3 linked regions of the Struthio camelus genome follow. The protein of the gene in region 1 interacts with the protein of each later gene in a biochemical or structural test. Links are inferred from orthologs where the notes say so. Each region holds a gene or a part of one and is shown in the gene's direction. Other genes may lie near its edges.

Region 1 (7,681 bases):
GTAAAATATGTCAAAGCAAGGATTTTAAAAATAGTATTTCAAATTAATTCCATCACAACAATGCATAAAAACTATAAAACAGGACAAAGGTCATAGGAAATGGAAGTACCAAGAGATCTTCACACAATCTTCCAAAAGAAACAATGGAGGAGGACTTAATTCCTTTTTAACAATTATTAGGGAGTAAGTATCATAAAACTGCCTTCCCCACACTCTTACAATTTTCTTCATGAACAAATGTTTAATTTGAACCTGGACAAAAAAAGATCTTCAGATGCTTTAAGTTAAATTTTGCATCCAGGAGTTTTCACTGGAATCAATGAATTGCCTGTGTGAGAAAGACGGCAAATACATGAAAGCTAATTAGGAATACAGGTTTAGATCTCCCGATATGGTTATATACAAAGTCCATTTATGAGCAGAAAACACTGATATAAACACTACTGACTTCAGGCTCACGGCGTTTCAGTTATACAAGTGTTATTTGCATTTTATATATGAGGAAAATGAGACACAGCTAATGACTTAGCCCAGTGACCCACAGGAAGTCAGTGACACAACCAGGAATAGAACTTAGACCTCTCAGCAGCTAGTCCCATGCTTTAACCACAAGACTAGCCACCCCCTTCCCATCTTATATTAGCACAACTCTAAATCTTAATTGCATCACCTACTAATTTAAGATGTCTACATGTATACAATTTTGTAGAAAACTGAATTTCTAAGGCTGAATAAGTTACATTCATAAATATTTCTTAATTTAATCACCCAACAAATTAGGATAAAATGGTTTTAAATGAGAATCAACATAAAAGTATCAGAAATTTCTGGATGCTTTAAAGTGACTTCTTGAGAAATGAATATCTTATATATTAACAAATCTGATGGATAACAGTATATGCTTGAGCCCTTCATTCCTTTATGTCTTTTTGTCTTCATTCTGTGTACGTGAGATGCAGTCTGGACCTATCTGATCGGAACGGGACTAGACTATGAAGATAACGGCCTATCACAGAAGAACCAGACAGCTCTAGAAAGTTATCCTCTTCAAGAGGAAAAGAAATCAGAGAAGCCAAGAGTTGGGGAAAGACCAAAGATAAAGAATAAACCATTATAATTAGAGTTAGGCAGGCTGCTGTGATCTTGGCTTTATAGAATTTAAAGCAGTCATGAATTTGGATTCTGAGTTCTTTTTATCTAAGACTCATAGTTCAAGAAAAGTAGGATCACTTTTAACTAAAAAGGTTCCTGTTTTGATCCGCTCTAAAGTTATCTATGACAAACCTGCATTACGCCTAGTCCTATCACCTTTGCTGGATACAAGGCACAGCATGCAAGATGAAACATAACAATACTGTAGTGCAAACTGCAAAGAGAGCCCGGAATCGTACCAAGGGATAGTCCCCTACTATCACTTAAAGAATGCGTCTTACACTATAGACTTTGCCACATATATCTATATAAAACGCCACTGATGGCAATTTAAACCTCTCATTTCCTTCAAATAAAAGTGTATGTATGGGCAACATGAAAATTGGAGTGAGGCAGAATATTATGAAATCCCTTTTACAAACATATCTCCCCAACAATCAAAAAACTGCCAACAGACTGACATGCTAATAAAAAGTTCTTGCTACTAATAAACGAACAGCAGATATTAATTCAGAAATTACATAACCCAAGAGAAAGTAGACACTGTAACTGTAAAAAAGGCAGCAGCACAAGTTTCTTAGCATACTTAAACTCCTTTGCCTCAAAACAATGCAATTTCCACAACTAGAACTGTTCTTTTAACTGCTAGACTTATAGTTACACTGCTAGCATATGAGATTGCCCTCCAGATGTTAAAAAGTTTGGCTAGATGATTTTTCATTTTTTGCAGAATACAGAGATGGGATACACTGCGTGATTTGTGATTTCAAACTTCTGTAATGCACCTAGAGACTTAAAGCATAGCCACAATGGAAGCATCAAAATAATTAAGTAAAAGTTGTAACTAGTATATTTGCAGAGAGAGGAAGAGGTATAAATCTCTCATTTCTGTGTCCTTACAAGATTTCTATCCTTTTCAAGCCAATCGTAGAAATCACAGTATCATAAGATCTCTTTATTACAGTCATTGTTCTAACCTAAAATCAAGCCATAAACCCTACCTGGCGTAGCTTAGAACCTGTTGCACAACAGTTCTTTCATTGAAATAGAAAAGTAAAATAAAAATGTATATATAAGAGAGGCAATTAGAGCCAGACTAACACCCTTATCCATTCTGAGCCTCCACAAAGAACTCTTACTCATTTCAGTGGGACTACTCTTGCCATATGATTCACTTTAATCTGCTTAAGATTTTCTTAATGATTAAAAAGAATTCATACTCAGCACAGAATTAAGATTTCCCTTTCAGAAGCATCAAACTCTTGAAAAGAGACTTACCACAAAAACTGAAAGAATGATTAATAATAATATAAAATGCAGTTCTCTTACATGAAAAGAAATCTAAAGCTTCTATATGCACTACAAAAACAAAGTATAACTGATCTCTTTGTAAAGACAAGTTATCCTCTAATTTTAAAAGTAGAACTGATGCTGAGAGCCCTTTCCTGCTTCTCTTTGAACTTAGGGGAGCATTGCCCATGGTTCAGAAAGGCCTGAGCCTAATGTTTCGTTCTTATTTAAGAATGTTTAAATAGCCCACTAAAACTTAGGAATTCACTGAGGTAGTAGAGGAGAAAGACCCCGCAACCCAAAACTGTGCAGTCACATGATACAAACAAAAGGTGTACAAGAAATTGATGAAGTAATTTATCATGACCATTTCATTAATGTAAAAAGAAATTCTAGAATTAATTATAGAATATATTTGTAGCCTACTTGATTTATGTTTTAATATAAAATGATTGGCTTTCCACGTGCTGCAAGTGAAAAACACTTGATAAAGCAAGGCAGATTAATTCAAATTATAAATAAGGCCTATTTTTAAGGGAGAGCGCAAGTACCAAAGAAAGTTCATGGATTCTTCATCTCTTGATTCTTCAAACCAAGATTAGCTGCCTTTCTAACTGATACATTTAATAGTATTAACCAAATACTATGTGAAAATCTATGTTCTGCGTTAGGCAGGAAATCAGACTAAGTAATTTCTTTTCCCTTCTTGCCCCAATCTGTTAAAATACATATTTACAAAACCTAAATAATTTGAACATAATAATCTAAAATATTTCACAAGTTCTGTCCAAGGGATGAACTTGTTAAAATAATATAATGTATATAACAGAAACAAAATTATATAATGTTTGTAATACTTTTCCTGAAAGCTCTGTTTGGGCGGCTTCTCTGAAAAGTCAGATGTGTCCCTTATTTCACCTATGCCATTTAATTAGAAATCTAAAGTTTGCTTTGTTTTTCTGCTTTGCTTATGAACTTTTATTAAAAGTTTAAACTCAAAGCTATGAGTATATACAGCCACAATCAGATGTGCAATAATGCCTCCCAATTTCTGGAGCGCTCCCAGTTTCCTGGAGCACGTTAAAGTCTAGAGTTTCAGAAGGGTTCTTCTATCCTTCAGACACTTAAATGAAATGGCGAGATCCTCCAGTGTTCTTTGTCCGGCTGTTTGCTATGAGAGCAGCGTTTTTTTCTGTTTGCAACAGAGCTAATTCTGAACTCTCCGTGGAGATATCCAGCTAAGATCCTTCTTATTTTAATATTCTACTGAAACTTTACATGAGATACTGCTGTAAAATGGCTAGAAATATTATTAATTTCTATATTTCAACCTCTTTTATTGCTATATTATTTTTACCTACATTTGCCTATTTATTCACCCATGGCATCTTGAGCCAATTCTAAGGTTTTGTTTTACTTGTTTTCAGTACCTGGCCCCCAATACAGAATCAGGGGATTACTGAATAGGTATTACCGCAGTATTTTAAAAAGAAAGTCCAAAAGAAAAACAAAAACCTTACAAACAAAAGATTTCCACATTTCTACAGCAAAAAGTTCAGATGGAGAGAAAAGCGTAAATGAAAAAAGTTCCTTGATATGTCAAGGCAGAAGTTAACACCCACCTCAAGCCTATACAAATAGATAATTCTCATTAAAAATTAACACAAGGCTTCAAGCCTCTACAGACAGAAAGACTATTCTCATAAACAAAAAGCTGTAGGCCATGTTAGTATCTATATGTAGACCAGATATTTTGAGGCATTCAACCCTAATCTATAAATTGCCTTCAGTGTACAAATAATATAGCAAATGTAGACTCCCTTTCAAAATGCCTGATGACTAAGAACCGTAATGAGGCAAACTTAGGATCCTCTGAATCCTCTAACGATGTCCAAGAGATCAAGGGTTTTTAAAGATAAACTGTTGTATCCTGGGGCATCTTGACTTACAGGACGACTCTCTAAACGCTGCTGATCTTGTGACTTTTTTTTTTTTCCACATCTAACTTCTTTTTAAAAGAGTCTGAGGGTGAAACAGGAGGAGGTGACATACTTGTTTGAACTTGCTCTCTCTCGAGACCTACTGAGAAGAGCCTGTACCACATCTCTCTGCATTCCTCCGTGGGGGGGGGGGGGGGGATGACAACCTGTAGCCAAAAAAAAGTGTGTGGGGGGGGGAAGGAATTTCATTTACCTCTGTTACTGCTAAGCCTGTTTTCAGAAAAGCCTGTATTCCTGTCAGTGGGACACAGACTGACGCGAGGAGACAGGACCAACGGCACGCAGCGCAGAGAGGAGTTAGCTGGAGGAGAATGGAAACGCAAAAGAGAAAGCAGTTAGCAGCCGGAAAAACTGAATTTTCAGTTACACAGCGGAGGAGATTAGAGAGAGCAGAGATCAAATTCCAGATCCACTGCAGGGGCCGCGGTCTGCCCTCAGGTACGCACTTGTGATCCCGCTGAGCGGGCACGAGCCCGCAGGGCACCGGCTCCAGTGCATGGACGCGGGCTAAAGGCGAGAGGAAGGAGAGGCGGCGGCAGCACCTCCTCCTCCTCCTCCTCCTCAGCGACCCGCTCCCTCTGCGCGTCCTCGCCTTCCCCCGTCCCTCAGCGCCGCGCCGCCCCTCCCCCCGCCAGACCCCGCCAACGGTCGCGGCGCGAGCGCCAGCGCCAGCGCCAGCCCCGCGCAGCACAGCCCCGCGCAGCGCGGCGCCCCGAGCGCGCGACGGCGGGCGGCGGCTCGCCCCTCGGCCCGGGCCGCGTGGGCCGGCGGGGTAGGCGGCGCCCCGCCGGGGGGGAGGCGGCGCCTGGTCGGTAGGACGGGCCGAGCGGGGGAGTTTATCCCACTGGAAGGGAACAGTTTCTCCCGCTGAGACTTGACAGCGCCAGGTCGGTGCGGGCTGCGGCGGACCTTCCCGCTGAGGTGAGGGGCGGCGGGGCCGGGCCGGGCCGGGCGGGGCGGCGGGGTGCGCGGCGTCCCGGCGGGCAGCCGGGGCGGGGGCCGTGCCCCGGCGCGGGCGATGCGGCCGGCCGGCCGGCGGGCTCTCGCCGAGGCGGAGGGGGCGAAGCGGCGGGTTGGCGGCGCGGCGGGGACCCTCGCTGGGGCGGCAGGTGGGCAGCGCCCGCCGGGCACCTCCGCGGGGCGGGCGGCCGCCCTCTCCCCCCCCCCCCGCCTCCCCGCCCGCCGAGGCGGCAGCCGGGCCGGCACCGTGTCCATGGTGCTGTATAGGCGGCGGGGCTGGGGCTGGGGCTGGGGCTGGGGCTGGCTGGGGGGGCAGCGGCGGTCGTTTGGTGGCGTGAGGAGCGTGCGGAGCGGCCAGAGGGGCGACGCCTGCCCCGCGGAGCTGGCGGCAGCCGTGCCCGTTGGCCGCCGGGGATGGAGCGGTGCTCACCTGCCTGCTGCCCTCATGAATGAAGAGACTTCTTCTTCTTCTTCCTTTCCCCCCCACCCCGCCCCGCCCCGCCCCGATTTCTCAACCGCAGAAAATCGGGGAGCCTTTCTGAGCCCGCAGCAGCCGAGATGTGGTGTTGAAATGTGTTAGGTCTTGACGGCGCGCCTCGGGTTTGCGGGAGCGTTTGGTAATCTTCCTGGTGTCATTTCTCTCCAGGGTGTTCTACAACTCAGAGCGCAAGTTCCTGCCGTGTTGTAACTCTGTGGCACTGTGTACACACGACAATACAATGCTGAGTTAACAGTGATGTATTTATTAATAATGTAGTGACGTAAGACCAACATTGAGCCTGATGAAAAGCTCAGGAAAGTGTCAGTTTCTCCATGTGCGGTGGACTCTAAATTTAGGTTCCCTTAAATCAGAAGGATCAATCATAACTGTCCTTGAAATAATTGAGGGTCTGGGCTGGCGTTGTCTTTGCGACCTACTGCCCCATCTCTAAAAGAGCTTTTGCCATGGAACATGGCTGTGACGGTCCATTTAATAGTGAGTATCCAAAAATAAAAAATATTCTTCTGGTAGCAATTAGTCCACAATTTAATCAGTAATTTAACTTTTAAAAGGTTACTATGATTTGTTACTAGTTAACTAAAAATTCCCTGTGTACACCAAGTAACTATGTATGACATAAGGTGTTCAGTGCTGTCCTTTGTAAACACGTTTCGTGTGTTGTGCGCTCATTGATATCAGAATTTGCTGTGTGAAGTGGTGTTTGGCATTCTTATTCTCCCTGGCTGTCACTAAAAGTCACTGCAAACATTGCTTAGAGATTTAATTATCAGATTATAAAAAATCACTCATAGCAGTGTGTTAAGGCTTGTGGTACAACATAGACATAGACTTGTCAAGGGGAGAGAGAGTAGGAAAAATAGTTGACATGAATTTTTACATGGTAACCAGTCAGAATATATTTTAAAGGTATTTCTACGCAGGCAGCTTTTGAATTTGAATATTCTGGGGCATCAGTTTTGTAAAATACCTCATTAACTGTTAGGGATTCACAGATCATATCTCTGTAAACTGCCTTAAGATAGTATGCGCTTCTTAGCGGTGCCTCATTGTCAAATTACTGGATATTACAATTTATTAAATGTCAATGTTCAATGAAACGTCGTTACAGTATGGTCAGTGCATAAAGAATTCTCCTCCTCTGATATAAGTTTATATTTCGTATTATAAAAATCACAAAAAATGAAAGTGGCAAAACGTTAGAATTAAGTTATGGCTTTTAATTTTCCTTATGAGACTGATAAAAACACCCACTATGAACATTTCTTCTAAATCTTACTCTTTTCCATCAAGTTTTGGAAATAGCCATACATTTCTAAATCAATAAATAACTGAAGCTAGGCCTCAGTTTATATGTCGATATAAATGTTTACTTTTAGCAATGGCTAATAAAGTGAATTTTACAAAAAGTTATATTGTAAAAACAGGAAAAAGAATAAAAGTAGAAAGAAAACTATTATGTACAAGGCTGGACTAAAATTCATAATGAAAAGTGTACTTAATGATATTTTCATCTTGATTTCTGAGGCCGCCTCCTAATTTTGACCCTTAATCTGTTCAAAATTGCATTGACTATATTTACCAGTCTCTTTTTTTTTTCCCTAGTCCAATTGCGAATCATTAGTTGTGAGTATTTGATACTCAGAATCTGAGTTTCTTTTACTAGTTTTTGTCGCAAGGTTTATTCCTATATTCTGTTCTGGCATACATTAAAACAGTTTGCAGCACAGCTACTCAAGAGAAATTAAAATACAATTATAAATTCTCCGTGGTAGATCCC
Region 2 (7,765 bases), on another chromosome or scaffold:
TCCTCGACGCTACAGAGAGCATGTGTGAACCAGTACACGTACCTGTGGGAAACGTGTGGTTTGGCAGTCCTGAAATAATCCAGGAAGCGCCTTGAAAAACCTGGTGTGCTGTGGTTTCTAAAGAAGCCCTACAGGAGGGCCATAAGGGCCATGTGCACCCCAGGACAAGATGGTCCTAAGCAGCTGCGCACAAGTAGAGGCACTGAGGTAAATCATCACAGAAAAGATGATGTGCAAGCAAATACAGTGCAGTGAAGTTTGAAAAGCTACCGCCTTGGACTAGAGCATTAGACTTCAAGCTCAGCTGGTGGCTGCCGAGCTCCATGCCTTGAGCGGGCTGAAAGCAGAGACCGGCTGGCAGCGGCAGGGTGAGAGGCTGGGCCGCCAGGAAGGAGGAACGCAGGAGGGAGGTTGGGGACGGGTCTGGCACGCAGCTGTGGGACTGAACACCAGGTTGTGGCCTGTTGGGACAGAGACCAAGGACAGACGTCAGAGGCTGTGGCTGAGCGAGGTCGGACAGCTGGGCCGGAGCCGCCGAGGGAGAACAGCCCCCTTGCTGCCCGGGCAGCTGCAGGCCTGACGCCGTTCCCCGCCGCCTACGGTGATGACTTTTCTCTCGCTTCGTACTGCGCATGGGGGGCTGTCATCCAGACACGCTGCTGCTGCTCTGGCAGACGATGTCTCCGAGAGGAGCGGCTGTCTGCCGCCGGCACCGCCGTTAACCCGTGCCCCTGCGGCGCCCTTTCTGTCCTGCCGGCCGGAAGGCGGCGGTGCGCGGCCGAGCTGGGCGACAGGCCCCCGGGCCGAGGGGGGCCGCGGCCGGGGGGGGGAGGAGAGGTCTCCAGGGCAACCCAGAACCGTTATTTACAAGGCCGCGCGGGCCCGGCCCCGCACGCACCGGCAGGCGGCCCGGAGCCCGGCTCTGCCGGAAACGGTCCGGCCCTACCTGCTTTGTGGCTTGAGGTAACGTCATTCTACATTTCGCTTTATCAATCCACGGCGTCGGTTTGGGTAAAGAGGGGACGCGCTAGGGCGGAGGGAGCCGCGGCCCCCATCGCGACATGGCGCCCGCCGCGACATGGCGGCGGGGCGGGACCCGGGCCAAGGGGGCGGGGGCGGGGCCCGGGCGCAGGCGCCTGCGCGGGGGCGGCGCTCTCGCGAGAGCGGCCGTTCGCCGCCTGGCAGCCGGGGCGCCGCGCCGCTGAGGGGAGCCGCGCCGCGGCCGCCGGTAACCAGCCCCCCCGCCCCGTCGGCGGCCGCGGGGCCCGGCCAGGCGCTGCGGGACGGACAGGCGCTAACGGCCGCCGTGGTCCAGGCGGCCGGGTCGGCGGCGGTGCGCGCGCAGCGGGGGGCGGGGCGAGGCGAGGCGAGGCGAGGCGGCGGGGGGCGGTTTTGCCCCGTTTTCCTTGGCTGAGCGCCCGCGTTTGCGGCGTTGCGTGCGGCTTGGGCACGGGGAGCGGCGGGGCGGGGCTGAGGTAGGGGCGCCGGCGTCCGTGCGCGGGCACGGGTATACCTCTGCGTGCGTGTGCGTGCATGTACGCGTGTGGTGTGTGCGCGTAGACGGAGGGGGGCCGCTGGCTGGCCGTTACGTGATTCGGCAGCGAGCCGCCAGGAGCGTTTGTCGGCGGGGTGCGAGGATCTCGGCGGTGCGTTTCGGCCAGGCTTTTCGGCGGGGAGCGGGATGGCGGGCCGGGGCCGGCTGCGGGCGGCCGGTCGCGCCGGGCCGGGGCCGGGGCCGGGCCTGGGCCTGGGCCTTCCCCTGCGGCGCCGCGCAGAGCCGTTTGCGTTTTGTACTAGCTGCGCTTTCCGAGGGCTGCAGAAGCGGTAACGGTAATAACCGCCGTCACGTAGCTCAAAAGCGGTGAGGGCTCCCCGCGCGCGGCGGGGGTCTGGAAGCGCCGGGGGCGCGGTGCCCGGGAGGGGGCCGGGGGCTGGAGCCCGGGCTCCTGGGGAGGGCGGGGGGCTGCGTTTGTGGCTGGGGCTGAGGCGAAGAGCTTTCACTGCAGCGTTAAATAAGCTTGCAGTTACGGGAGGGGGGAAAAAAAGCTGATAGTCGTTTGAAGAAAATAGCGCTCGCGAGTCTGTAAGAGCGCGCGTTGTGTCGATGGGTGTGCTGCCGAGCGCGGTCACGCTCCTCGGCGCCTTGCGCTCCCCGCGGAGCCGGGCGTTGCTACTTACTTGTTTCCCAAAGGGCTTTAAGCGTAAAAGGCTGAGAGAGAGCTGTGTTTTCCTGTAAGATCTGTGTTTAGATAAGCGTGTCTCTCCTGCTCAGGTACCTGCTTTAGTATTGCATATAACTATGGCACGGTGATTTCAGACATTCATTTTCAGCTATTCTGTGGTGTCACTTAAGTGCCGCTGCTTGCAAAACATAGTCTGAGCTCTAAAGTCCACAGAGTAGGAGCATGGCCAGGCTTCTTGCCCTTGCTGCGCTAGCGGCTTGTGGCTCTTCCAGCAGCCTCCTCCTGTGACACCTCCACCCTAGAGCTGCTCTGTGCCCTGGCCCGGCTGCTCCAGTGTCAGAGCAGATTGAAAACGCAGTCGCGTGGGTTCAGGTTTGTGGCGCCCTTCCAAAAGAGCGCGGCCGGAGAAGAGCTACTTGAATTCTAGAAAATACGTTACCTGCAACTTGCTTTTATTCCTTCAGGTGCTATTTTGAATTCTCTTATTTACAGCTGTTGGAGCTCATTTTTCTGCAGGTGATTTCTGGCTTAAAAATATATGATAGTGCACAGTTTCTTTTTTTGGAGTAAAACAAACCCCCAGCAGAAGATCCGTGCAGATGCTTGCTGGTGGTCACGTTGATGCTTTACTGTATAAAATGCATGTTATTTTTAGGTATAAATGGAAATTTCCGAGATTGACTTCTTGTACTTAAAGTACTAACTCGGTTGACCCAAACTCCCACATACCTAATTTGGGATAGCTTCTTCAGAGGAGCAACTGTTTTCTGGTGGGGTAAAACAGAAACGAAGAGGGATTTCAGTTCAAACAAGGCAGCTGGTTTAAAACCAGGTCACTGAGACCTTTGCAGCAGCCGGGTACTGGCAACTGAAAGAAATCATTCAACGTTAATAAATAGAGCCTGTCAGGTATGAATTTTGTGCAGTTGCAGAAGTTTTTCCCCAGTAGAGGCTTAGGAAGATCATCTTTTCAAGGTTATTCAACATCCATTTGAAATACAAAGACCACGAGTCTTTATAGGCAACAGTTGAGATGATTGTGCTGAGAGTGAAGAGCTGGTAAAACCGGTTTTCTGCAGGGCTATTAGCGGATTGTGTAGGCAAGGAAGGCAAGTTTGTTGTCCCCTCCTTCTCTCTGCTCCCCAGCCACATGATATTTAATTAAAATCTAAAATATGTTTTTTTTTCAGTTGAGCTTCTGAGCTACAAAATAAAAGTAAGAGAAGATGAGTATAAGGAGTAACAGCTTAGGGATGAGGGCAGACAGCCTCTCTGTAAACTAAAGATTATACAAACTGTTAGGAGGAATAATACTGCAACCAAAAGCTTTTAGCTGAAGAGTGTTTGCAATACCAGCCCTCCGGTGCAGTTTTGGAGTATTAATGGAAATGGCCAAAAACTTTTCTATGAGGACAGGCAATTATTTGGCAATTGGGAAAAAGAGTGCATCTTCCCAGCTCATTTTAGGCCTTCCTGTTGCTTGTATAACTATACTTTTTTTTTAAACTGACTTACATGCATACGTTTATGTATACGTGTGCTTTCCTTATTTGCACGTGAAAGCATGGAAGCAAGAGTAGGCGTAGTAAAAATGAAGTTACGTGTGATGCTGTCATGATCACTCCGGGTATTAACTTCATTCTGAATGTTTTATTATCGCAAGAATTTGTGGAATTTGACACGTTCAGTGCTGGAGTTTAAAACACAAAGGCTCTCATTGTTTAGGGTTTTGTACGGGCAGTGGCAGGGGATTTAATTTGGCTACTGTGCAGGCTTGCAGCCCTTTCCCCCCTGCTGCTGGCCGCCCAGGAGGAGGTAGGCTGCGCTGCCTGCCGCCCGTGCGAGGGGCGCGTTGCCTCGCTGCTTCCTGCGTGAGCAACTGCGGGCTTGTCGCCAAAACGTCTGGTTTTGCGGTTTCCACTGACAGTGGGATGACAAGAGGCATTTGGTGTTTTTAAAAAAATGGGGGAGGCCGGGCCCGAGGTGGCGCGGAGGCTCCCGGCGGGGGGCGGGCTGGGAGCATGGCTGCACCTGCGGAAACCCCTGCTCCCGACAGCGCGGCCTGCTTTGTTTCCTGCTTTTTAATGCTGTTTTTTTAGTGGGGTGTTCACTTGCTTTAGTCATTCTTAGGGAATTTACCCGTGCTTTTGCCCGGGTTGAATCGCTCGCTGCATCGATGAGCGAATATTGGGAGCGGGATCTGTAGTGCGATGGGAAAGAGTTTTGGGGAGGAAAAAAAAAAGTTGCCTATGACTATTTAAAAGTGGTGGGAGTCAGAGCTACTGTGCAATGGAAAGTTGCAAATGAAAGCAGCCTCCTCAACAGGGCGCCGCTGGCCACTCCTCCGTTTGGAGGATAAGTGCAACTTCAGCAGATCCGGGTGGGGGAGGCGTGTCCCTCCGTGGAATAACGTACCAACGGGGTGATACTGCAGTGGGGGTGGGAAAAGCTGGATGACATGGTATTTGCCAGAAAGGGTGAATTAAGGTTACATATTGCAACTCGGTATCTCACTGCAGCAGTAACTGTGGTTTGTTCCTATTGATCATAAGTGTATTGATTTCACTTCCTTCAAAGTATGGGACCTGAATATATCTTAGCCTGCGAGTGCTATGAAATTTGTGATAATGGGGAAACAATGAAATAGGTTGCTACGCCACTTGTCTTTGCTGTTTTTTGTTAAAAGGTTGCAGAAATTGAAATTAGCAATGAATCGGCTCTCTTGACATCCTGAAATGTAGTTTTATGTCTGATTAAAAACCAGCCTGTAAGAACAGCCATATTGCAAGAGTTGTCATCTTCCATCCTCACAGGCAGTACCGAATTATCTCTGAATTCATTTTGGCGAGAGATTCGTGCAACTAGAACAAACAAATTAAAAAATCTTGCAGCAAACCATAATATCCTCAGAGTATTAGAGGAGCATATAGAAGTTTCCCAAGTTCTACCGTGTCAGTATGAAATTAGGATAAAATTTAAAGGATGTTGTAAAGGATAAGCTTATCTCTTACTGAAAATCACTGGCAAGATGAAGAATGTGAAACCTTATGTAACTGAACCTGGTACCAGACTGCACTGTGAAAATAGTAGAATAAAGCTAGCCTTGATAGCACAGAATGGAGAATGGCATGTTTTGGACTTCAATACCCTGAATAAGTCGGGGCGGAATTGATGCAAGTTTAAGAACTAAATTCAAGTTCCTTTCTCTTGCAGCTGGAATGTGCTCTGTGCTTCCTAGAAGGTGAGCTGTGATGGCGAGAGTAGGGTCAGGGTCAAGGTGCATGGTGGTGCTTGGTGCGGCTCCTGCGCTGTGGTGCGTGGCCAGGGCGAGACTGGGACCTGGGGACCTCAGTGTGGTGGCACCAGGGAGCTGCGGCCCCGCAGCTGCCCCCTCCCAGGCTGCGCTGGTGCCCGGCCCGTGCAAGGTTTGCTGTTAGAGGAGCCGCTGCATTTTCTGCCTGCGTCCGTTCAGGGGCCACTGCTGACCCTCTGCACTTTGCTGACCCGGGCAAAACGTGCAGCTCGAGTCTGGTGGGTCCTGGCTGCAGAAGGGTTTTTTGGATTGCGGTTTATATGGTCATGGAGCTTGGAAATTGCAAACTAAGTAACTGCTCAGTAACGCCAGCTCTGTGGTTTTGTTGTCATGTTCAAAATACTCTTTTGACTTCCAGTGTGTGTGTGGGGGGGAGAATATTTGTAAAATATTTATACTGGCATGTGTGCACTTTTTAACTAATTAATTCTGCTGTGAATTTTCATAGATGTCGTTACTGAAGATTTATTTGACTTTTTAAACAAAATGCTTACTATTGGTGCTTCATGTATTCTATGAAACTTAACAGGAGGATTGAAACTCTTAAGTGACAAAACGCCCACAGTTTAGGAAAAAGTGCTACTGCTTCCTATTTTTATTTTAAAAAAAAATCTGTATTTAGCTTTTTTGCTTGACTTGCAAAATCCTTATTTGTGTAACTCTTGTAGAAATTTAATATCCGAGTTCCTTTTACTTGAGGATATGGTGAAGCTACGTTACTGCAGGCTGTGTTTGTCCACAACAAACGTAACAAGTGACTCTTGTAAGTTTGGGCCCTGGATGCTTAGTGAAGAGTTTGAACTGTGTATTAACATGGGGATTTTCAGCTGATGAAACTGAATTACATTTTTTTCATTTATGAGAGATTTTAAGGGAGCCAGTTCATTTGCCTGCAGGTTAAACCCGGGTGACTGAAGCAGTTCTTGCCCTCTAGTACTTGCCAGGCCGTTCTCCCCTGGCTGCGGCAGGTCTGCTGAATGTGTCCTGGATCAGCTCGCGGTGGCTAGAGTTTGCTGGCTAAGCACAAATGTCAGAGGAGTGTGAACAGCAGGGGAGGATTGCTTAAGCTCCTGTGGTTGAGTCTGTTGACAAATAGCTGTTGGGTTTCCTGTGATTGCATTAATTTCACGTGCCAAGGCTTTTGAGAGACTGTTGTCACTGCTGGTGATTTTCTTAATTTTTATTTATATATAGAAAACTTACTGGTATCAGTTCTTAGGTTTTCTTGTTCACCTTTATAGTAAATGTATGGATGGATGTTGATTTTTTTTTTTTCATATGATAACCACTTCTTCCATTAAAGAGGAAGGGAAACTGTTAAGGAAAATGCTTTTCATCGTGTTTTAGAAACACTTCAAGAATGAGTTCACCACAAGATAGAAGTAGAAATTCCTGCAGCAGTGAGCCTCTGGCAAAGTGCCTTCAAGCTAAGAAGGACTTGGAAACAGCTATTTCTGGAATTGTCAAAGCTGAACAACAGATTAAAGACAACTGGAGAGAGGTAATTTAAATTAATAAAATATGTACATAAAATCAACGTGACTTCAATGACAGTTCTAGTTATTCCAAAGTATTCTGTATAATACGATGCTGGACTGAAATTTTCCTAGAGACAGCAAGCATCTTGCTACGTAACTTGGTCATGCTCTTCAGTACCGCTAGCTTAGGCATGCAGAATTTACTGAAGTGTTGGTCTGTATTTTTCTCCTACTTTAGAAAATACTTGGAAATAGCTCTTGGTTTAAACATTAGGATAGAGAGATGCTGCAAGTAAGTGTTCTCTGATACTCCTTTAGAGGTTGCCTTGGAACTGGTACTAACTTGTGAGTCACGTGGCTTAGTGGGTGCCGGTGGTTAGTGTTTGGAACGCTTGAGAAATAGATTGGTACAAAAATACAACTTCTCTGTGAGAAATACTGTTTTGTAATGGGCACAGCATATTGTTGTTCATACTGTTTGACAGACGTTCTAGACATGCTCCGTGTTACCTTGCAGGTGAAAGCAAAGATTCACAGCCACATAAGTCGCCACCTGGAGTGCCTGCGCAGTCGCGAGGTTTGGCTGTTTGAGCAGGTAGATCTCATTCAGCAGCTCAAAGAGGAGGCCTTGCAGCAGCAAGCTCAGCAGCTCTATTGGGTAAGATCTGGTTGTAAACTGATTTAGCTGCACTGACATTTTCAAATAAACTTCAGTCTTGCAAGTAGTATTTTCTTAATTTTACCCTTAGAAGCCAAAACAGTAACATGTATTTTGTCTTCTGTGCAGTATT
Region 3 (7,026 bases), on another chromosome or scaffold:
CATTTACATGTAAAACCAATCTTTGCTATGGATACAAAGGCAAGCCTAAACACTGATATCTATCTTCAGTAGAAGCGGCCTATTTTGGTTCTGCAGAAGCATTTACACCCCAGCTTAACTATTGGAAAAGGACAGTGTCGGGCTGGTATATTTGATTACTGACATGAAGTCTTTTCCAGTAAGTCACTAACCTGAGTCAGGTCAAGTTTGATAGAGGTTCCTGGTAACTTACGTTAAACAAATTAATTATCAGAACGGATAAAGCAATATTATTATCCACCTGCTGTCACCTGGCAAAATTTTTTAACATGATGTTGGAGGCAGCATGGCTATCCTTGCGTTTTCTAAGCAAACCACTTTGGAAATATCAACAGAGCAGTTGCTTTGTTTGGAGTAGATGTATTCCTGGAGAAAGGATGAGCCAAAGAATTTTAGTCATATTTACATTGCAACTTTTGTTGTGGCATTGACCGCAAGAAAACTGATCCCCAAATTCTAATGCAGAGAAAGCCTCAGAATATCAGCTGACACCTTATTTTATGCTCTTTGGGTGCAATTATCCTATTCTCTTTGTCACTATGGGATGAAATGCGCTGTCATATCTGATGTTTTGCATGTTAAAAAATTCAATGTCAATCTTTGTTTCTTCCTCTGCTCCCCCCATAAAATCAGGATGCCTTTCTAGAGGTGTTGTATGCATCTAGTATGTTCCTGCTTTTTGTCAGTCTCTTGGGATACTTTTTATTCATTTTCAAGCAGAGGGTTGCAGGATCTGTGTTCATTTTCATCAAGGAGCGAATTGTTCACCACAAGGAGCTACAGAAGAGGGAATGCTGAGCAGCAGAAAAGCTGGTTTTTTTTTTTAACTACGGTAAACCATGTCTGTGACACTGAATTCTCTGCTTATACATTTGTAAGTAGGACTATTATAAAATATTTATAGGTGTGGCATAAGGATTAGCTAATGAATGTCTCCAGTGTTCTCAACAAAGCGGTAAAGGTAGTATGTAATGCATATGCAACATAAGTTTTGTTCAGAAAGCTTTATAGTATGGCAAAACACATGATACTCATGACTATTATAATATATAGAACCATTGTCTACAGTTGAGATGTTTTCTTCTTTTTAGATTACCCTAAATACCAAAATATTTTAGGGAGGGGAAAATCCTGTCATGAACTCATGTTGTTCTAGATTTAAAAAACAACCAACCAGCCCAAATCCTGACATTCTTTATCTCTGCACTTTAAGTTCATAGAAAAGGAAAGAGGTGCATAAATGAGGAGCTGCTCAGGCTGGCAGCCTGTGGGCTAGAAGCGGTGGGTAGCACCCGCTCCTGCACCTCTGGGGTGAGAGATGGGGCCTGGCCTTTACTGGCAGTGGTAGTTGCTGGGACACAGGGAAGAGCAGCAGAGCATGAACTCCCCCGTGCTTATGCAAAGAGTTGCGCTAGTGCTCCCTCTCAGCCCTTTCCTGCTTTACAAGATATGTGGGAGCCATTACCTTGACCGCTGACAATAATACAGTTTAGTGCCCTTTTTTTGCTTTACTAAATGAGCAATATAAGCGTGCCCAATGAATCCTTCCCTAGTGGTGCACTTTGCAAGCCTAGGCGAGAGGGGGGAAGATCTTTTGTGCAAGGTAAAGATGTGTTTTTCCAAAAACTCAGAACTCACCCAAAAGAAAATTGATTTTCCTCTAGAAAATGGTGAGGCAATTGGTATGCTACAACTGGTGCTTACTGTGCTAGCTGAAAGAATTTGGTTGCTACCTTGCCTCCTTATTTAGTTTGCTTGCCTTGCAATGGAAAGGCCTGAAATCTGTTTGGGGACTGGCTTTCTTCAGGCTGTGTTTAGGACTGTGGAATCCACATCTCAAACACAAGCTTCTGTTACAACAGCATGTTTAACAGCAGCGGTACTGGAGAAAGGTATATTTACTTGGCAAAAGCTAAGCATATGCCAGATTTCAGTTTTCATCTCTCATTTACGGGGCAGTTTAAAACAGGGTAAGTTTTCCACTTTTCTCCTTTTTTTTTTTAAGTAGCTGTATCACTTTGACTCGACATTTATAATTTAACTTTAGAAAACATTGACTGCAAGACTTCTGTCTTAAAGATGAATGTTTCTGACCTACAGGCAACTTTCTTACCTAAAAGTAAGGTAAGTCCCTCACACAAGTGTCAGGGAGAACGCTCTGTGGGAGTAAATATGGCATCAAAATATCATTTCCATTTCCAGAGAGGAGACTGCTGTCTCTGCTCTAGGCTAAGTTGCTGTTTTCAGTGTTTCGTGATGCTAACAATGTTTTTGCTGCTTGGTAGCAAAGCACAGAAAAGACATCTGAATGGAAACCTTGAGAATATACAGCCCTCCATTCGTAGGGGTCCATATCAAAAGATTTTGTGTGTGTGTGTGTGTGTAATATCCCTGTAAGTTCTTATCCTTTGAAAGTTATAAGCTGTGTGATAAAAACAGGAATGTAACAAAACACAGCTAACTTCCTTATAAAAGTTAACCACACTAAAAATAGTTCTGGTAGTGACCTCAGGGTGTGTGCGTCAAGCAATGATAGTGGCTGCATCTTCACAGTGGAAAAACGGGCTGCTGAGGTCGAGGAAGATTAGAGTACATTCCTGTGGAGAGCTTGCTAGGTACATTCAGGATTTTTGTCAGCTTCACCAGCTAAAATGGGTGTGTTCCTGCAACTGTCTTATTTTAAAATAGCTGGGATGCTGGAACAGTCCCCAAAAGAGTTTGCCTGCCTGCTTTCATTGTGTGTAACACCCTCAGACAGCAGATCCAGCTTACTGTACTGCTTCTACATGTTGCAAAACTAGAAAATTCCAACTACAATATGATCAATATCTTCATGCTTCTATTGAAGCGGTGATAAATTGCAATCCTAGCTTTTGCTTTACTTCTTATGCCCTTTTCTAAGTTGCGTTGCTTTGCTCTTTGCAAACTAGTGAATCACCAGAAACTAATGCCACCTGTGCGTGGTTTTCATTTTCCAGGTGATGATCCTGTAAAATCAATTTTACGGGAAGACTCTATGACTTTCTCGTATTCATAGGCGGGAAATGGCATTTCCTGAGAGCGTGGATGCAGGTGACCATGCTCGGTGCATGGTTTGACGGAGGTGATGGATCGATTCTGGACTTGTGCCAGCCACCAGGAGATGTCCTGCTGGCATAGACACCTCCCTTGGTTTGCTGGACTGCAATTACAAAGCAAACTCTGTGGTAAATGGCAGCGTGATAGAATTTGAGCAGATACTGCTTTTGTTCTTGCGAGGGAGGGAAACTTCATCAGAAATGCCCATGAAATTCCAGTCTTATCTTCGGGAATGCTTGTGGAATTCAGACGAGTAGTAAGAAAACGTCCTGGGCACCTTTTCAGGCTTTCTACTAGCGTCACTCAGTGCAAAGGATAGTTTCTCTTGCTTTAGCTTAATTTTAAAGTTCTTAAAACTCGGCTAGGATTTTAAATGAGTATTGCATGGTGTGCTTATGATGTTGCTTCCTTTGTTTGCCTATCACCATATAGCCTCGCCAGCTCCATAAGAAACCTGTCTGTGAAGTGTATTTTAATATTTAGATCTAACAGTGATTAGAATATACTAATGCCCAATGGGTATATGTGTCATTTTTTAGCAGCTGCCGAGCTTTCTCCCTGCTGCTCCAATTAACACATTCAGCACACACTTGTCGGTGAGTGGGCTGTGTGTATGGGTTAAACCACTTTGCTATTTATTCATGCAGCACATGTGATGCCAAAAATGGATTAGCGAGTTTCCTGTTCTTAGAACAAACGAACTCAAACGAGGTCCTGAGCTTGTGCCCGTTTAAATGCTAGGATAGGATTTAACTGGCAATCGGAAACCTATTTTGCCTCGAGATGTGGTTCAGTCCATTGACTAACATGAATCCCCGCCTCCCAGCCCTCTTCAAATGATGGAGACATAGGATAGGGAGATTTCAGTGCTGGGTTTCCTCTTGCTGGCAGGCAGGCAGATCTCTTCAACTTTCTTCTATTTTGTTTAATAACTGCTTGAGATGTAGAGATTCACTTCTCACTACAATATTTTCCTCCTTTATCTATTTTCATGTTGAAATATTCCAGCTAGTAGATTTGATAAAGCCCCCCCCATCCTTTTTAAAGGGAAAAAGAATATGCTTTCTATTCATAGCTGAGATAAGGAAGGGTTTTTTTTTTTTTTCATGGTGCCGGAGTGGCTGGTCAAAAGGTGTAGCTCTGCCTGCGTGTTTGCTGTTAATTTGTGCTCGGACAGCTGTCTGTGAAGCCAAGGGCGAAGGGGCTGCGAGTTGGTGCCGCTGCCGAGGAGATGGAGCGCTTCTTGGGCTTTGTCAAGCAGATAAGAAGATCGAGAAGAAGAAAAGGCAAAAAGTACCGGCCAGAGGAGGATTACCATGAGGGTTATGAGGATGTTTATTATTATGCCTCGGAGCATTTTCGAAGTAAGTATTTTGCATAACCTCATTTACCTTTGGCTGTGAGAAATATTATGCTTTTAGGATTATTAAAAAAAAAAAAAAAAAAAAAGAACGGCAAACCCAAACAGTATTTCTCACACGGTGGCATCTGAGCCTGGTGCAAGTATTAAAACATTACCTTCCCATTGTAGATTTATCTGTCTGTGACTGCCAGCAAGGAATAAAAAACAGTTGAAGTGGCACAGTCGCTCTCTCAAAGTAAGCGCGGTCTGTAGACCTGTTTAATATTTCAGGTGCAGTTAACTGAGTCTTACTGTTGCAAACCCTTTGGTAAAATCCTTTGTTTTGAAAACGGGTGCAATGGGCCCTTGTCGAATGCCTTCGTAAAGCCGCGCTGTGGATATTTCTAAAGCAATAGAAAGGCAGTGATCGCTCATTCATAAGTTCAAGTTGACAATTGCTGTTGGTTGCTGAGTGCGAGTCGGTCCCTTGAGCCCACGCTGTGACCGGCTCTTTTCAGCAGAAGGTAACTCAAGTGGGCTGCTTTGTCGCTGCACGTTCAGGATCACTTATACAGAATTAAGTAGCTGTTTTTGTTTGTTTGCAGTCAGATGACTGCAGCAGTTTGCTATAAACCTAAATAAACTGCCTGTTCTTAAGTCCCCTTGCAAAATGTGTATGGTAAATTGCAGCACACTAAGATTTATTCCCTGTACCTGTCAGGCTTATGAGCGCATGGTCAGCCTTTGACTTCTCCCCATGGGTTGGAAATGCCCAGAAATGCCTGCAGGGACAATGTGAGGGAAGCTACACTCAGATGTTGCTGAGTTTATTATGCAGCTTTGTCAGTGCAAGGTAGCGACAGTAGAATCAGTCATGCACAAAAATTATCTTTTTAAAAGGTTTCTGCTGTTGTGACCAGTGATTTGGGAGCTTTGCCTTTTGTTCAGCAGCTGAAGTTTGATGTACTTTTTGTTGTATGTACCATTGGCTGTCAGTTTCTTTTTGTATCATTGGGCTTCACTTCCATTTTGCTGAAATAAATCATGAAAACATTACATTTGTTCTAAGACAATAAATGTGATTGTGCTTTAGAGCAACAGAGTACTGCCATTATGTGGAAAATTATGAAGCAAGAGATTTTCTTTTGGTTTTCTCCAAGTGCACCATGCTTGCCTTATCTCCAGAAGTAAACTAATATAGAGAGTTTGGTTGTTTACGGGGACTCTCCACAATAAAATCCTTGCTGTTTTCTGTTTTTAAGAAAATTTACAATGCTGATCATCTTAGAATTTATCAATGCTATTCAGACTGAGATCCCTTAAGAAAAGGTCTATTCTGGGGAGCGATACTGTTTTAGCAGATTATGTATTACCATGGAATATGCTATTACAAGAACTGAAAAATTTAAATCTACTTAGCACTGAAGAATGTGAAAATGTTTCAAGTTAATGGAAGAACGCAACTTCTTTTGCTTTAGTACGCAAATCAAATGAATATGTCAAAACAGTCTGTCAGAATATTTCACTAGCTGATTGTTCTTGAAGGTCTTTTAAATAAGAAAGCAAAAACCCTCCAAAACCTGTCATATGTAATAAGGATTTCTTGAATGTTGATTAATAAATTATTGCTCTTGACTTAATGTGAGGGACTAAGATGGAGCCAAATGTCTAATATTTGTTTTAATTTTTATTTTACTCATAAAATAAAAGAATATTTTTTCTCTCACATTTGAGCCTGTGGAGATTCTGAGTATTTTAGAGTGGAAGAATCTGTGTCAAATTTTGTAACTGACCTTGAATGTTGCTTATATTAGTGATCATAGTCCCCAGACTAAATAATCCAAATAACGTCCAGCCCTATAGAGTTGGACACAAGTAGTTTGCAACTTCTGGCAGTTACTTAAATGTGTCACAGGAGATTGAGCCCTAGAGATTTATTTGTTCATCAATCATCAGGAAGAGAAGAGGCTTTTATAGAGCTACCACATCAAATACAATGGCTCCTCAAATGCCTTTTCTGCCTGTGCTGTGTGTGGCGCTGTTTTGGTTGGATAGGGGCAGTACCTACTTAAATTGATGTACGCAATGTCAAGAGATGTTGCTGGTGCTCCTGTAAATGCTATCGTTAAGCTGCGTTTCATGTAGTTGGAACAATGAAGCGATTCGTGTTTAATTTAACGATGATCTGGCATTATGCTGCTTACAGTTCAAATTTAGAGTAATCGCAGACTTTCTAAAAGCTATTCCTTTTGCATTCATGTGTTTAGAAGTGTGCATGCTTGAGAATAGGATCCACTTTATTGGTATGATTTTCAGAATATCAGAACTAATGAAATCAGAGACTTGTTCACTCAGCTGAACAGAACAGGAGCTTTTTTTTTTTTTAGGATGTTTCCTTTCCCTATAGTGTTGTCCATCCCTCCTCAAGGGTCGTCTTGTATGAGTTACATATCCAGTTAGCTACTGCATTTGAAGATTGTCTGAGCCAATCACTTTATGGGCTTGTTATTCTCTCTTCCCCCCTTTTATAATATTGCCTAGAACGGAGACAGAATTAATGTCAGTAT

The links.
Region 2: the proteins of PPARG (region 1) and NCOA4 form a complex in vitro, tested with the Homo sapiens proteins (2 studies listed by BioGRID, with this or other methods). The link is inferred for Struthio camelus from reciprocal best matches to the Homo sapiens genes PPARG and NCOA4.
Region 3: the proteins of PPARG (region 1) and GRIP1 form a complex in vitro, tested with the Homo sapiens proteins (2 studies listed by BioGRID). The link is inferred for Struthio camelus from reciprocal best matches to the Homo sapiens genes PPARG and GRIP1.

The regions. Positions count from the first base shown.
Region 1 is NC_090955.1:20,125,105-20,132,785, reverse strand, and holds the start of PPARG (peroxisome proliferator-activated receptor gamma), read left to right. Parts: upstream 1-4,666; 5' UTR 4,667-4,753; coding exon 4,754-4,880; intron 4,881-4,888; exon of another isoform or gene 4,889-5,055; intron 5,056-5,217; exon of another isoform or gene 5,218-5,363; intron 5,364-6,048; exon of another isoform or gene 6,049-6,347; coding exon of another isoform or gene 6,348-6,378; intron 6,379-7,681. UniProt on the Homo sapiens protein: Nuclear receptor that binds peroxisome proliferators such as hypolipidemic drugs and fatty acids.
Region 2 is NC_090948.1:33,201,511-33,209,275, reverse strand, and holds the start of NCOA4 (nuclear receptor coactivator 4), read left to right. Parts: upstream 1-4,677; 5' UTR 4,678-5,401; coding exon 5,402-5,424; intron 5,425-6,843; coding exon 6,844-6,997; intron 6,998-7,491; coding exon 7,492-7,632; intron 7,633-7,761; coding exon 7,762-7,765. UniProt on the Homo sapiens protein: Cargo receptor for the autophagic turnover of the iron-binding ferritin complex, playing a central role in iron homeostasis. Acts as an adapter for delivery of ferritin to lysosomes and autophagic degradation of ferritin, a process named ferritinophagy.
Region 3 is NC_090942.1:39,757,856-39,764,881, reverse strand, and holds the start of GRIP1 (glutamate receptor-interacting protein 1), read left to right. Parts: upstream 1-4,000; 5' UTR 4,001-4,348; coding exon 4,349-4,481; intron 4,482-7,026. UniProt on the Homo sapiens protein: May play a role as a localized scaffold for the assembly of a multiprotein signaling complex and as mediator of the trafficking of its binding partners at specific subcellular location in neurons.